Linked DNA regions of Struthio camelus. The main gene of each other region encodes a partner of the protein of the gene in region 2 in a complex. Links are inferred from orthologs where the notes say so. Each region holds a gene or a part of one and is shown on either strand. Other genes may lie near its edges.

The links. The genes of interacting proteins can lie anywhere in the genome.
Region 1: the proteins of NRP1 (region 2) and PLXNA4 are in contact, whole or in part, in a cryo-EM structure (PDB 7M0R), measured with the Mus musculus proteins. The link is inferred for Struthio camelus from reciprocal best matches to the Homo sapiens genes NRP1 and PLXNA4. Residues at the interface, in NP_032763.2 of Mus musculus: Arg80, Tyr84, Asp126, Tyr127, Glu128; in NP_786926.2 of Mus musculus: Glu272, Lys340, Lys343, Lys345, Leu349.

Annotation. Positions count from the first base shown.
Region 1 is NC_090942.1:3,315,994-3,323,589, forward strand, and holds the start of PLXNA4 (plexin-A4), read left to right. Parts: upstream 1-4,558; 5' UTR 4,559-4,861; intron 4,862-4,879; exon of another isoform or gene 4,880-7,596. UniProt on the Homo sapiens protein: Coreceptor for SEMA3A. Necessary for signaling by class 3 semaphorins and subsequent remodeling of the cytoskeleton. Plays a role in axon guidance in the developing nervous system. Class 3 semaphorins bind to a complex composed of a neuropilin and a plexin.
Region 2 is NC_090943.1:16,657,863-16,665,623, reverse strand, and holds the start of NRP1 (neuropilin-1), read right to left. Parts: upstream 3,079-7,761; 5' UTR 2,908-3,078; intron 2,730-2,907; 5' UTR 2,311-2,729; coding exon 2,244-2,310; intron 1-2,243. UniProt on the Homo sapiens protein: Cell-surface receptor involved in the development of the cardiovascular system, in angiogenesis, in the formation of certain neuronal circuits and in organogenesis outside the nervous system. Mediates the chemorepulsant activity of semaphorins.

The DNA.
Region 1 (7,596 bases), on a different chromosome or scaffold from region 2:
CCCGGATAAACCAGCCTGCAAAGACCTAAAGGGCTGGGAGTGCTTGCAGACCCCAGGGACATGCTGGATAAAGTGCAATTGGAGGGCAGCTTGGGCAGACCCTCTCTCGGGCTTTTTTCCACCTTGTGTTAGAAACCAGTTGTGGAGAAGCGCTGATCAAAGGGAAAGCCAATGGCTGCCAACTGAATGGCAAAATCTTGCTCTTTCCCTGTTCCCTGGGAACCTCTTCTCCTCCTGCATGCCTTTTGCAATGGTTTTGTCCCATCCGGTATCTACATGACCCTCCTCGAAGCTGGTAAAACTGCAGAAAAACTGATAGCATGCCAACCCCCTGCAGCCAGCACCCAGACCAAGATCTGCTCTTAGGGGTCTCTTGTCCCCTAAGGGACCATTGAGAGAGCTGTGTCTATCAGGGCACCGTGCCTTGTTCCTTGGTGGAATTAATTTAGGATTATCCCTGCCTTCACATTTCCCCAGTGGTTTTTCCAGTCTGGCTCTGTGTCCCCTCCTACTTCTGCTTCCCGGCACCCGCTCGGAGCAGAGCCTCGACGCAACTGGCTCCTCTCCTTCAAGCTGATGCAGAGAGCTGAACTCTGTTCCTCCCTGGGGTGCAAGGAATGACAATGCAAAGCACTCGACCAGCTTTCCAACAGAGTGTGATGACTTTTCTTTTTTTTTTTTTAACACTCCGAAAGCACAGTGAAGCCATCCTTTGTCAGAGGTAGGGATGGTGACAGTCAGATGGAAGAGGCCAATTTTGTTTTTGGGTGTCAACAGAGCTGGTGAAGATGTTTCAGTCTCCAACATCTGAGGGACCGGAGGGGGGTGGCGGTGAAGATCAGACCAGAGAAACAAGACGTTTAACGAGGCGGCATTTGGAGAGCTGAGCAAAGCTCTTTCAGCAGCCCTACTTCTTATCGTCATCTCCTCGTGGTATTTAGTATTTAGGGAATTCACTTGTCGGCCTCTGGTGGAGGGTGCTTCTGTGGGATGCCTGCACAGAGGGGTGGGATCGTACTGGCTTGGGGGGGACATGGGGCGAAGTGGGGGGCCTCGGGGGAGTGGAGAGGTGGCATTAGCCCCGCCACCGTGCAGCGACGCAACGCAACGCAACGCAGCACGACTGAACGCGATGCAAAGCAGCGCAAAGCACTGCACGGGGCTCCCACCTCCCACCACCAGCCAAGCCCCCAGCCCTCCAACCTCAGACTTTTTTAGAGATTTATCGCCGTTTCAGGGATTTCCAGAGCTGCCAAAAATCCCGGTCACTGCAGGTGGCGCTGCAATGTAGGTTTTTAGCAGCGCCGGCGCTCGGCGCAAACCCAGTCCCCGGCAAGGACCAGCTGATGGCTTTAACAAGCGTCTCTGCCTTTTAGCAACTGGAATACCAGCTTGGTTTAACAAACTTGTAAAATGGCAGTGCAGGGAGGCGGGGGGGGGGGAACTTCCTAGGGTCGTCCTGTCTTCATTTTTTTAAAATTGGCGTGCACGCTTTGTAACTCGAAGCAGTTGAGTCTTAAAGCGTACGGATGTGCATCCTCAGACAGAAATACATGTTTTCTGCAATCAGAAGCCCTGGGTGCTGTCATGAGTGATCCCTGTATGTGGTTTGGATAACAAGACGTGAAACGAAAGGATGCTTGTGCTGTTAGCTGACCATCACGGATGAAATCTCTGAGAGCCCGAAATGGGCAGCATCTGGGTATTATTTTTATTTAGGGTGTTATTAGCAGTGGGAGGCCAAAGAGGAGATCCTACAGGACGAGGCCCATTACCGTGCCACTCTCGCAGCGCTCGGGCGCCTGCTGCCACCGAAGTTGACGGCAAAACATCCCATTGATGGCGACCGGGTGAGCCGGGGCCCTCCGTGTCCTTGGGCCCTTTTACTGCAGCTATTCGCAGGTCAGGGGAGGTCGTTTGGGTTTTCCAGTCTTAACCCTTCTCCACCCCCGCTGCCGAGTTCATGAAAAGGCCTATAAAAAAAGTCTCATTTGTCACTCTCTCCTTTCTGAACCCAAACAGCGGAGGGATATGTTGACTCATGCCATTGTTTTAAGAAACAGAGAGAATTTGTATTAAATTCTTCCTCCCTGTCGAACAGTGAAAAGTAATCTCAGGGTATCTGGATTGTCCATTTCTTTTAGCAGGATAGCCCTGTTTTAAATGCAGGACCAAAAATTCCCAGAGATTTTCATATGTTTTATTAAATGGAGCTGCAAGCCAGAATGGACATTAAATAATACTGTACCGTTCACAACAGCAGTGATCTTTAGAGGTTACTAACCTGCCATTGTATCTTTCAGATTTCTGTCTCGCTTTTCCGTTGTCATTTTGCTGTGTTATTACTCTTCAGGCTTCGCATAGCGTTCGTTTCTCTGAATGAAAACAAATGACTCCTTGCGAGAGGCAGGAGATAAAGAATAATAAATACATTTTATGCACCACCTTAAAAAAAGGGGCTCCGAATCCCCATCCATCCATCAGGAAATGTAAACCAGAGCTCAGGCAAAACACACACACGCAGGCACATAGGCACGCAGTGCAGAGATAAAACTTGTTTTAAGGAAAACATGATATTGTTTAAAAATAAATGTCTTGGAGGATGCAAATAGACAGCCCCCAGCCCCCGTGTTTGGTTGCATAAATTTAAAATAATTAAAAGTGCAAAGCTCGGATTAATCCTGAATGGTAGAGGCCGCGGTAAGGATGGGAAGCCCTGCTGTGCTCGGGGCTGCACGAGGTGTCTCCTGAGGCAGGTGTCCCTGCCTCTCATCATGGTTGTGGCTCACCATAAGCGGTGGGATGCCCTTCACTATCCATCCTCTGCATCCTTCTTCTTGCCCGGGGAGGGAAGGGGGGATGTTGGCAGGGGGCTGCAGGACCAGACCCAAGGTTTTTCCCTCCTCGCCCTGCTGTAAATGCAGCCAGCATCCTCAGGTGTAGAGGAGGACTCCCCAATCAGTTCCCCTTCACTCCCCCTTGTCCCTGGACGGTTGCAAGATGCCCATCGTCACAGCGTCAGGGCTCTCCTGGCTCCGTGGGGAGGCAGCCCTGTTGCTATGTGCTGCTATCAACACCCTGAGAGCGCCGCTTGCCTTCCTACCATCTGCTGCCTGCTCTGCTCCTGACTCTGTCGACTCGAGGAGAGCTCAGATATTACCTGGAGAGAGGAGTTCAGGTGTCTGCGTGGGGAAACGCGCTCGCTTCGCCCTCCCCAGCTCCCACGGCCATGGGCAGCTCTGCAGGACAGCCTGGCCAGCCACGGTAGGAGCCTACCAGGTGCAAAACTCAGGCAATGATCACTAATAGCTTTTAAAAGATATTATTATTCTTCCGGCTGCCAGGAATTAAATGAAGACTCGGACAGCAGAGCAGCTTGCAATAGCTCTCTAGGATTATTGCTCACCCAGGCTGAGAGACTGATCTTCCTCTGAGCCTCCCAGCCCTCCTGCGCTCGGGCTGATGATCTCCGCACCTCACTTTGTCCTAGATGGAGGAGAGTGGCAGGGCAGGGAGGGAAGGAGGAAGAGGGATGCAGCAGTGGGGAGCCCTGCTGCTGGGAAGAGGTTTTTCTGGGGAGGTGGTCGAGGAGCGAGAGAGATGCGTTTGATTCTTTGAGATATACGGGTTTTTTGTTTTTTAGGGTTTTTTTTTTTTTTTGGCAGCGAAATTTCCCAATTAGCCCAATCAGGCTGGAGATCCTAGGTGTCAGTAGTGAGTAGAGCGAGGGAAGGAGCCCGGAGAAATCAAGGCAGCCGAGTCGGGCTGGCAGCCGTGGGAGAGCAGCGGCGGCGGCGGCCCCGCTCCCCATCCCCATCCCATCCCCATCCCCATCCCCATCCCCTGGCAACTTCGGGACAAGAAAAAAACCGGCTCCGGGTCCCCCCCGCCCCCTTCCCTCCTCCAGCGACAACCCGCGCTCCCTCCGCCTGCTGCCCGCTCCCAGAGGTGGGTGGGCTGGCGAAAGGAGGAGCAACCGGCCACTTTCTCTGCAAAAAAAAAAAAAAAAAAGAACAAAAAGGGATTTTTACTATCATTTTTTTATTATTATTGTTATTATTATTATTACCATCCTGGCGTGCTGGGTGCGGGTTGCCACCGCACTTCCCTACACCTCTCCGGCTTTTTTTTTTTTTTTTTTAGGGGGAGGGGGAAAGGGGGGAAGTGGGGGAAGAGAGAGGGGTGCGTGGATGTGTGTGTGTATGTGTGCAAGAAAGCCTGGGTGTCAAAGCCTGCTCGGCAGCCACCATTTGGAGAGGAGGGCCGGGGAGGAAGGGCTGGCGAGACAGCCGCAGTGCGAGCCCTCGCCGGCGGGCGGGCGGCAGCGCGGCGGCCGCGGAGCCGGGCGCGGAGCCGGGCACGGCCCCGTAGCGCATCCCCTGCCTGCACCCAGCCAGCCAGCGCGGCTGCCTGTCTCCCCCCTTTCCTTGCCGATTTAGAGGCTGGGGGGGGGGGGCTGGGGGAGGGAGGGAGGGGTGATTTGGAGGAGGAGGGTGGGGGGGAGTGAAAACTGGAGCTGCTTTTTTTTTTCCTCCCATCTCTCTTCTTCTCCCCCCCCCCCCCCCCCCCCGCCGCCTTTCTGGGCGATCCAGAAGACGCGGTTTGCCCAGTGCAGAGAGAGGGGCTCCGTGTTCCGCCTCCGTGGAGTATTTGGGATTGGAGAGAGAGAGAGAGAGAGAGAGACACGCACACACACACACACACACACACACACACTCACACACACACAGAGACCATCTGCAGTGTCAATGCGGCGCCTGCTCTGAAGACTGAAGTGGGGGGAAAAAGGAGAGGAAATTTTTAAAAAAATAATAATAATTTAAAAAAAAAAATCCCCAAAGCAAGCGAGGAGCCCTCCCAGGTAAGGAGCCCGGCTGCCCGCCCCGGGCAGCGGGGGGCTTTGCGGGAGGCTGCCCGGGAGGCTGCTCGGCAGGGCCGGCTGGGCTGCGGCGGTGCCTGCCTCGCACCCCGGCAGGACGGGGCTGGGGGGGGGGGGGTCCCTGGGAGGGAGAGCCCGGGGTCCCCCCCCCCGGCCCCTTTTCCCACGGCGGCTCCGCGGGGAAGGGGCCGGTAGGGACCCCCGCGGGGCAGCGGGCTGAGCCGGGCACGGCCCTCCGGCTTTGCCCGGGCTGTTTTGGGACGATGCTGGAAAAGGAAGGGGAGGGGGTTTGCAGAGCGGGGTGGGGGGGGGGGGAACCCCGCTGGCATCGTCCCCTCCAGGACCCCAGAGCCGGTGGCCGGTTCTCCCCGGTCCCCGGTGCCTTTTCCCCCATGCACAAGGCTGAACTTTTCTCCGCGGAGGGAGCGGGACCGACGTTGCAGCTTATCCCCTGCCACCTCCGGCAGCGGCTCTTCCTCCCCCCGGGCGGCGGCGGGCATTTGCCCCCCGGTGCCCCAGGGGCCAGGGGGCTGGAGGTATTTGCAAACTTTTCCTGCTCCCGACCAGGTCTGCGGCTGGACGGGGCTGGAGGCAGAGCCCGTTTGCCAGGGAGGATCAGCGCCTGCCGGGTGACTGCCAGGGAGGGGACAGGGGCCACCCCGGCGGGGACACCTCGAGGAGAAGGGGGCGGGGGGGGGGGCATCCCCGTCTTTTTCACCTTCCCGCAAGGTGCCGAGGAGTTTGGCTGCCCAAAACCCAGGCTGCGGAGTCAGCGCTGCTAAACCTCCCTCCCTCCGTGCATGTGTGCGCTGCAACCGAAACCTGCGTATTGATGCTCTCCGTTTATCAGACATATGCCCCTGAATTATGTAGACAGGGAGAAGCGATCTAAACACCAAGCCGCACATGGTTTTGGTAGAAATATAATACTCCGGCGGCAGATGAGTTCCTCCCAGATAAACAAACCCACTTGCACAGCCCCAGCAGGGCTAAGTGCTGTTTGGGTTTGTAGCGGCTGCATGTGGCTGTTACATACCCAGCCCCGAGGAAACCCTCCTCCTGGGGCCCCATCTGCTCCCCTTTCCGCACAGGGATGAAGCCCTCGCCCGTGCCGGCGTGGGGCAGAGGAAGGGATGAAACCTGCCGCTCTCGCCTGTCCGAAGGGACCGGGCGGAAAGCATGAGAGCCATGCTCCTCATCCATAAAACTTCCACCCGAAAGTCTGCTCCGCTTCGATTTCCAACCTCGCCGCCACCAGGGAACCGTCAGCAGCTGTGAGAAAGGGGCTCGGGCTGGACGCACCTGATTTTTCATGGCTTCCCTCTCCGCCGCCGGGATGTCGTGCGCGGGATGCGACACGCTAGGGAGGATGCGGGAGGACAGGGGCTGTCCGGGTCGCTGGGGCGAGCGGGGTGCGGAGGGACGGTTTGGATCAGCCCCCTGGGGATGCTCTTATTCCTGGGGAACGATAAAGGTTTCAGGAGATTTTGCAGGCAACGCGATCCCTCCCAGCCTTCTAGGGACTTATCTTGAGCGTGCACCAGCCCTGCACAAATATGTTTGAGGGCATAGAGCGTTCTTTTTTTTTTTTTTTTAAATCTGTCCTCGGTTTCACCTGGGTCTTGTTTATAGAAGCTGGTTAAATCCGTGAGCGGGTGGGACCAGCGGAGCATGGGGTCGCTTTGCCTTCTCTGTGATTTTAATTACAGCGTGTGCCTCCCAGCGTGAGATTAGATGCTTCCTTCCCCCAGCTAAGCCACTGTCTTAAGGTCTTGGGGATCAGAGCTGCGTTTTGTTTGCGTTTTTAATTGCCTTGGAAAGTGCTTGCTTGTTTGTTTGTTTGTTTCTGTCTGGGACCCTCCATCAGAGCCGGGCTTCAAGCAGCGCAACAGATGTGTGCCTGCTTTTTGTGCGCAGCCAGGTTTAAACACGCAACCCCAGCCCCATCATGAAAGCCTGGGAATTTCTTCCCTCCTCTGCCCAGACCCATCCTCCGTGGGGGTGTCTCCTTTCCTAAAGGACCAGTGTAAGGCTTTGCCTTTCTGTCCCGTCTTAAATTTGCGGCACTCGGAGAAATCAGTAAGACGCAAAACCAATGACAGATGCATGATCTGAGCGTTGTTGATGTCCAAGATGGGTGTTTTTTAAAATACACGCTGACGATCAATCACGCTGCTGCTCGGAAGCTTTCGCTTGATGATCGTAACTGCCTTGTAGGTGCCGGAGACTGTTGTTAAATCTGTTCAGCCTGCAATCCTGCACCTGGGTAGCAGAGGAATGAGTGCTATAGAAAATCTTAAGACAGACACTGAAGTTTTCCACTGGGAAAGGAAATATTCCAGCCTTTCCTCTTTCTTTCACCTACGAGCCTCTCTGTCTGCATTCGCAGTGTGCCTGCTGCTATGCAGGCTGGAGATGCAGCGAAGCGAAGGGCTCAGCACAGGCACGAGACCTGCGATGATCTGCTGCCGCCGAGGAGGCAGAAGTGGTCTTTGGCAGCCAGATCTCCAGAGGGTGGTGGTTTCGGGGCCCGATTTCACGGTGAGGTCTCTGGGTCTGCAGGGTGAGATGGGGAGGAAGGACTCTGGAGCCCCCTTTTGTGCTGCATCTTTCTCCTTTTAGTGAATCACTTTGTCTCTGTATCCCGATTTGCTTGACTTTGAATGGATGTAATAAAAGCTACCTCCTTCCCGGAGTGCTGGGGTTTGATTAACATG
Region 2 (7,761 bases):
CCAATAAAATATGATAGTAAACTACAGACAGGAAGAATGTCTGCACTAAAAAGCAAGTCTATACACCACTATATCCCAATAACTATATGTACAGACTGCAATGCTGTGTCTAATACATTCTCTATGACAGCCAAATGGCATTTCTTGCTCTCAGCATGAATTTATAAATGTACAGAATTTTATTGTAGGAAAACCAGGTCAAATGGAAATGAACAAGGAAGTACACATCAAAAATGCATAAAGCTGAACACCTTAACGGGGATTATTTGCCATAAATTAGAAAGGAAGGCGATGATATGTATTCTGCTGTCTGGTCAAAAAACAGATATTGCTAAGCATGTTGCTGGGAATGGTTATCTTATTATTTATTTCCGCTTTGCCTTTGTAAAGCAGGCTATTTGCCTCTGACCAGAACAAAAGGCGTTGCAGCTCAAAGCTCAAAAGCTGTCACTGGTGATCTTTCTAATCCGCCTTACTAGGGCTCGCAGAGAATCCTGCCTTTTCCTCTCTCCGTAAGCACACTCGGAAAGTGATCCTGTCTCATTAAATCCACTCCAGCCCTGCAAACAACATGGCAGAGTCTGGCATCTGTTAAATGCCTGAAATAAAGCAGTGCTGCTTCTAGTCACTTGACAGAGTCACTTCAGTGGACGCTGAGGTGGACTCACTACCACCAGCGCGCCTTAATCTCCGACTTCTGGGAAAGTGACAGTGTAATAAGATAATACGGTCTGCTAGACTCCCTGGCTCTGTGCAATCTCCCTCACACTTGATTAAGAAGAGCAGTTTCTAATGACTTTGGACCATTAGTTCTAAATGAGGTTAATGAATTAATTTAGCAGACACTAGCATGGGCTGTAGGTGAAGGAGGTATTAGCAGGTCTGGTAGGTTACAGAGGAGGTTAACGGCCTGGGTGACTCCAGGAGGGCCACCACATTACCCGCTCAAGGTAGTGGTTCTGCCCAGCGGCCCACCCTTCTACTTTTCTTTTAAGGGGGAGTAAACGATCGAGAAGACCGCAGGGCGCCCCCTCCCATGCTCAGAGGGGTGCAGAGCCAGGAGCAGTGCCGGGCTCTCCGGGGGCCAGGGAGGCGGCTGCCGGCCGCCGCATCTGGGGCTCGGGGCAGCTCGCCCAGCAGCCCCCAGCCCGGCTTGACGCTCGCCTGGTAACGCCTTCGCTCCTGCGCCCCATCACCGGGGGAGGCGGCTCGTCCTTAGCAAATCAAGCAGCTTCCTCAAAATATATTGGGAAAGAGATTAACTTCCATCATAAAACATGCGATTTTAATGCGCTCTCTTCCAAGAGGCTCCACTTGCGGTCTCTTATTAAAACAATATACCAGCGTAAGTGGAGGGTGCTCTCTTCTTTTAATTACTCTGATTTAAAACCCAGTCAGGCAAAAGTAAATATTTGATAATTAGTTAATAATAATTGCTTAGGATTTGTCGGGAAAGGAAAACTCGCACGAGCTGTTTCTGGAACGAGAGCTAAACGTCAAACAGTCCCACAATTAGACCGTCTTTAAAAATGCATCAAGCAGTGAAATATTCCCGGTGCCCTGGCATTGTTCAGGGAAGGAGGAGCGCGTTGCTTTTAATTAATTCTGTTTTCACGGGCTGCCTAATAGTAAACTAGCTAGATCAGTCATTTGTTGGAAGATTTCGCTATTAGAAAGGAGTCTTGAGCCTTCACACAGAGGCTCAGCTTTTCTCTTGGCACTGTGCAAGTTGCACGTAAACTGCACACTTTGGAAAAGGGTACGCTAGGGAGATCTCCGTCTGCAGACTACCCGCAGGTACACACACAGCTAGTAAAAGGCATGATACTCAATCTTGCCCTTTGGAAAAGAAAGGAGGGAGAAAAAGCCTTTTCCTTAAAGTGTTCATTATCTTTCAGATTTCGGAGGCGACACTTATTTAATTGCCTATGGGAGGAAGCATTATCAAGATAATTGACGGTCCTGATCTTGTGAGAACGAGCAGCCTGCTTTGTACAACAGCCCCAAAGAGCGGAAAATAAAGTGAGAAGGCAATGCCAGGGCGGGCGAAACTCAGGCGAGGACCGCGCCGCGTCGGTCCTTTGGCAGAAAGTTCCCCGCAGCCGGGCTCGGGTCGGTGCCGGCCCCATTGTCTGCCGTGCCCCATTGTCTGCCGTGCCCCATTGTCCTCCCTCAGAGCCTCGGAGCCCGAGCGCTGAAACTGCTTGCCTACGCTGAGACCCGACGTCCCCTGTGACACTTACCGCTTCGCAGAGCCCTGGCGAGGGTGAAGGTGAGGGCTGCACAGTGCAGGAGAAGTCTCCAATCCATCTTCCCTTCCGAGCGCAGCGAAAGGAGGTTTAAAAAAAAAAAAAAAAAAAAAAGCCCTCCACACACAACTCTTCCTAGGTCTTAAATCCTCCAGCTGGAGTTGGGAGCAGAAAGCACGGTCCGCAAGGGCAGTCCCCGTGGCCGAGAGCTGCTGGCTTCTCTTTCTGTGCCTCAAGTCGCCCGCATCCTGTCATTTAGCTTCGGCTCCCTCTCCCTTTCCCCACACTTGTTCCTTCTCCAGGCGCCACTGCCCCTACCATTCCCAGGGAGACTAGAAAGCCAAATGAAAACGAGGGAAAAAAAAAACAGAACAAAAAAAAACCCAAACACACAAACAAGACAGACAAAAATCCTTGCGGCTGCCGGCACCTCGGAAGCGCTCTGCCAGGGAGGGGTCCGGGGCACGGGGCGGGGGTGCTCTGCGGAGAGGAGAGAAGCAAGAGAAAGCGGCGGTGAGCGGGGACGAGACGGGCTCAGGAGTTTTGCGAACTGCATCCCGCCCCGCCGGCCCGGCCCGGCCCGGCCCGGCCGAGCTGCCGCTCCCCCGCCCGGTGCCGGCAGCCCGGGGCGGCGGCGGCGCCCGGCGCCCGCACTCACCTGCCCCGGCGGGAGCGAGCGCGCCGCCGCCGCCGCCGCCGCGGGGACTCCGGGCCGGCCGCGAAGGGGGAAGCGCCCGGGCGGCTCCTGCTCGCAGCCTGAGGAAGAGGAGCGCAACTCAGCGGCAATAAGAGAGGCAGAGGAGCCGCCGTCTCCCGAGCCCCAGTCCCCTCCCCCTCCCCGCCCTCCTCCTCTTCCTCCTCCTCCTCAGCCCCCCAAGACATCGGCAGCGCCGGAGGATCAACAAACAAACACAGCGAGCCCCAGCCCCGAAACCCAGCGGCGGATGGGTGGGCTAAGAGGGGCGGTCGGGGGGCGAGGGGCGAGGGCCGGCCTCCCCCGCCAGGCCGGTCCCGCGGGCAGGTAGAGCGGGCGGGCGGCGCCCACCTGCGCCCGGCGAGGCGCGGAGCGGAGCGGAGTGGCCGCCGCGGGTCCTGCGCGCCCGCGCACCGCCGCCGCCGCCCTGCCCTGCCCTCTCTGCCCTGCTCTCCCTGCGCCCCGGCCCGGGCACCCGCCCGGCCCTCCCGGACCCGCTCTTTTCCTCCCCGCTTGCTCCCCAGCAAGTGCATGCGTGCCCCGAGGGGGCACCCGGCCCCACGCCTGTCCCTCCGGAGCCCCGCCGTGGGGCAGCACCGTCCTCTGCCAGCCCAGGGGCTGCCGGCCTCGCTGGCGGGGGCCGAGCCGCGGCCACCCCTTTGCATCCCTGCACCCTCTGCCACCCGCCCCTATTGGCACCCCCTTTCCCCCCACCGTGGCTCTCCTTCCCTGCCTGCCTCCGCTTCCCTCACCGCTTTGCCCCCTCACTCTGCCCATCTCCCCCACCACCTCTGGAAGGGCCCGAGGAGCAGCTGGGCTCCCCCGGCCGCCTCTGCTCCCCAGGGAGGCTGCGCGACCTCAAGTCCTCTCTGAGGAGTGCGTGTCTCCTTCTGAGCAATCCTCACACCGTGCCGGGGACAAAGGGGACACGGCGGGCTTTGAATCCCTCTGGTGCCTTTGGTGGTCTGGTGCTCCCCAGGCGAGGGCCTGTCCTCTCCTTGCCCTGTTGCTCTGCCTTACAGGCTGCCCCTTCGCCCAGGGAGTTATTACCTATTTGAACCTGGCTGCTGCTTTTATGTGGAGTGCTTTGAGCTCCCTCTGTGTCGAGGGGAGCGGCCTCTAATCTGCTCCCTAGAGCAGGGGTTAGAGGAAGAGCTCTGAAGGCTGAAAGTTGAAACACAGTGTTAAATGGTCCCAAAAGATGGGTTTGCGCTAGGAAAATGACCTGTGGCCAGTGGTGGATGTCAGCCACTCTCCTCACCCACAGCAGAACTTGGAACTGCTCCACTTGGAGTCTTTCTGAAGGATCAGAAGGAAAAAAGCCCGGCTTTGGTAGGAGGCAGGGTCATTTTCCTGGGGCAGCTGGAGCAGTAAATCCCTGTCCACTCCAGAGATGTAACTATGTTTGAAATAATTTTCAAACATAGTTGTCAGTTTGCAGCCGCACAGATTAACTACAAATGTGTTACATCTGTGTTCAGAAATCATACACAGATTCGGCCCCCTCCATCCCTTTGTCTCCCGCCTGGAGTCTAAGCCTTCCACCCGCACTCTCCCTCGCTGCCCTTTTGAAGCCTCGACTTTAAGGTCAGCTGAAGTCTGGAGATTAAGTCCATAGGAAATCTGTCTGCCGGTTTCATGCTGTACGCTCTCTCATCCCTACTTTCTGAGTTTTTGCCAGACATTCCCGTTCTCTTCCATGACTGCAGTTCTGTAATATCAGGCACTAAAGCACAGTTTGATCCTCTTATATTCTCTGTGTGCTTCATTCTTTTCTTCTCTTAGTCTCTGCCCCTGCCCATGCCAGGGTCTGCAGGCAGGCCACGGTCCTCAGCTGGGAGCTGGGCAGGCTGGAACTAGTCAGGCTGAGTTATTGGGTTCAGTCTCATTTCCCTGTCTTTAGGCAGTCGCTGGATCATCATATACAATACTTATGCATTTTCTTGATTGATTGGGATGTATATTTTATGGGTAGCACATTAAGCCCCCTTTAATTTTTTTTCTTTTAGTGAAATTCCCAGAACAAGGGGGAAGGGGAGAAGTAACAGTGCTCTCTGCTTGTTAAAACTCTTATGCTGCTGGACAGTCCTTGAGATAAATTGGTACTGTCCTGAAGCACATTCCAGTCTGAGACTGACTGAGGGACAATACTGCTATTTAAATAAAGTATATCTATTTTTGAATTCAGAAATTGCCTACTAATGGTAGCTTATTGGAGGGTTTGAATAAGTGTATACATACATGTTCATGTTAAAAGCTCACTCTCAGAAGCCAAGTTTAATTTTGAAAGTGAAAACTATTAAGCAGAAATTCAATGGGTGTGTATATTAAAAAATTACATTTATCATGTAGAAGTGGTGACTGTCTCGTTTTGGGATTAGCATTGTCCTATCAGATAGGGTCTATGAATCTGAAGAGAGAAAATTACCTGTTCCCAGTTGTATGCTCCAAACAAAAAAAAATTTTTTCCCCATTTGTTTTCCTACCAGATTAGCAAGTTATTTTCTGTAGATTTAGGCACAATATATTGTTAGATAGTATATTTTAAAAGAAATTCTGAAAGAAAAACTAAATACTTAATTTTAGGTTATTTACATTAAATGAAGCTGGTATAATATGCTAAATGGTCAAGTCTAACGACAAAGGTTGCTTTTATCACCTCAACCTACCTTGTAACCACTAATCCATATACCAAGGTTTATTTCAACATGCTCAAGTCTAAAAGATCATTGCTTCCTCCTCTTTCACAGAGATATATGCACGAGGCTGCAAAGACAATTTACCAGGAATAGCCTCTGTTGCGGCGAATGCGGCCCGTGAAGCAGGACTTCTGCCTTTCTTCAGCACAGCGTGGACACTTTGGGTTTGACACCAAGGTTTTTTTTTTCTGTAGGAGCTTTTTTTCCTAAGGCCTAGAAAATATAGCAGAGTCTGCCCTAGAAAATATAGCAGAGTCTGCTATATTAATGTCCTCTCCTATCATAATGTAAATGGTATTAGTCTGTTTTTGCTACCCATCTTTTTCTCTGTGGTTCACAGACATAGGCACATGTTTCTATTCATGTATGAATTGCACTGAAATGAGGAGTGAAGATGTTCTGTCCTTGGTTTACATATATTTATCTGAAAATGTTTAATCTTTAATCATCATGAATATAAACTGGCATCAAATGAAACATTCAGAAGTCTTTTTTTATAATCCACTTCTCACATTTTAGTCACGGTATTATGGGTCCTGATCCTGCAACTGCTTACACATTTGTTCAGCTCTCCATTTTCACATCAGTAATGTGATTTTATGGAAAGGATGAGTTAGTGTTATAAGACTGAATCTGAATCCAGTGTATGTAAAAGTTAATGGAGTGGCTAGCTCTGGGGTTTGGGTTCAGGCCCATCTTTGCTTCGCAATTTGACTTGGTGCTTATAATGCTTTTTTGAAGATTGTCTGCACTTCTATTATAAACTTATTTCTCAAGAAGTTTATAATTCAGCCATAAAAAATATTTGCTGTGGGCTAAATCATGTAATGTAAAACTTAAAATTCCAAAGGAAAAAACAGTTTTCCTATTTTAACAATAGCTGAACAGAGCAAACTGATGTTTACTCCTTTATGCTCTCACATAGCACAGTAATGCATTTAATTCAAAATTAAATTTGGCAAATGGTTAATCCATGGCTGAAGACACCTTTATTTGGCATTTTTTTGAGGAAGAAACACAACAAATTAAACCCATTCATAATATTAAATTTCTGAAAACTGAGACTTTCTACCAGTATTTCCTGGAGAACTAGAAATGTATTTCCTTGACAACTAGTGCCTGCTAATATCTTAATATATAGTCTGGTACTCATTTATGACCTTTGTATTAATGTTTTCTTTTCTTTTGTTTATCTTTCCCGAGAATCTGTCCAAAATTAGGCTTCTGTGTCGTCTCCTCTCCTGTTGCTTTGGCCATGTGAATCACTACTTGGCTTCCTGTTGCTTACTGTACTGAACTGCAGCTATTCCCCCTTATCTTGAAGATCAGACATACATTTTCCCTTGTCTCTATCTGTCCTCTTTCAACCCTTTTATCTCCTACATCTTTTATCCTCCTACTCAGTCTCTCACACCCAATGCTTCTTTACCCCGTCCTCTCACGTTACACCTCTTTTCCACACATAGCCACATGCATCTAAACGATCCTTCCTCTTTTCACTGCACATATTATCCTTCTCCAAAGAACCATTGCAAAAACATGTTTTTCAAAAAACCGAGCCAACTAATTTATACATTATTTAAACATACATATGGCGATACATTGCAAAACACATTTAGATCCTATATTGTATTGCTTAGAGATCAGATTCATTTGCATTTACATCATCTCCACATTAACTACATTGTTAGGATTGTAGGGACTTTACAAATATCTTACCAAACTCCTTGCAATCACAGCCGTGATGTCTCGCAAATGCCTTATCAAAACATGTTCATCATCCTGTCCAAACACATTCCACTCCAACAAATTAGCACAGCCCGAGGCTTTATTAGTTGATTATCTGATTATCAAAAGTCAAATGTTTTCATCTATGTCAAAGGCAAATCATCACACATATCATTCTACTTCCATTCCTATTTTGACAACAAGCTAGTCAGGTCTCTCCTAAGACTAATTCTTGTTTGCTTGCACTGCTACAGCTGCCAAAATCTGAGTGTGGTCAACACCACACGCTTCCAAATCTTCCCCACCCCTTTCTTTTCTCCAGTACTGCTTGCATATTCTCAGTGTTATCTGCTTTTTTTCTAAAATAGGATGTGGGAGACATATACAGGAT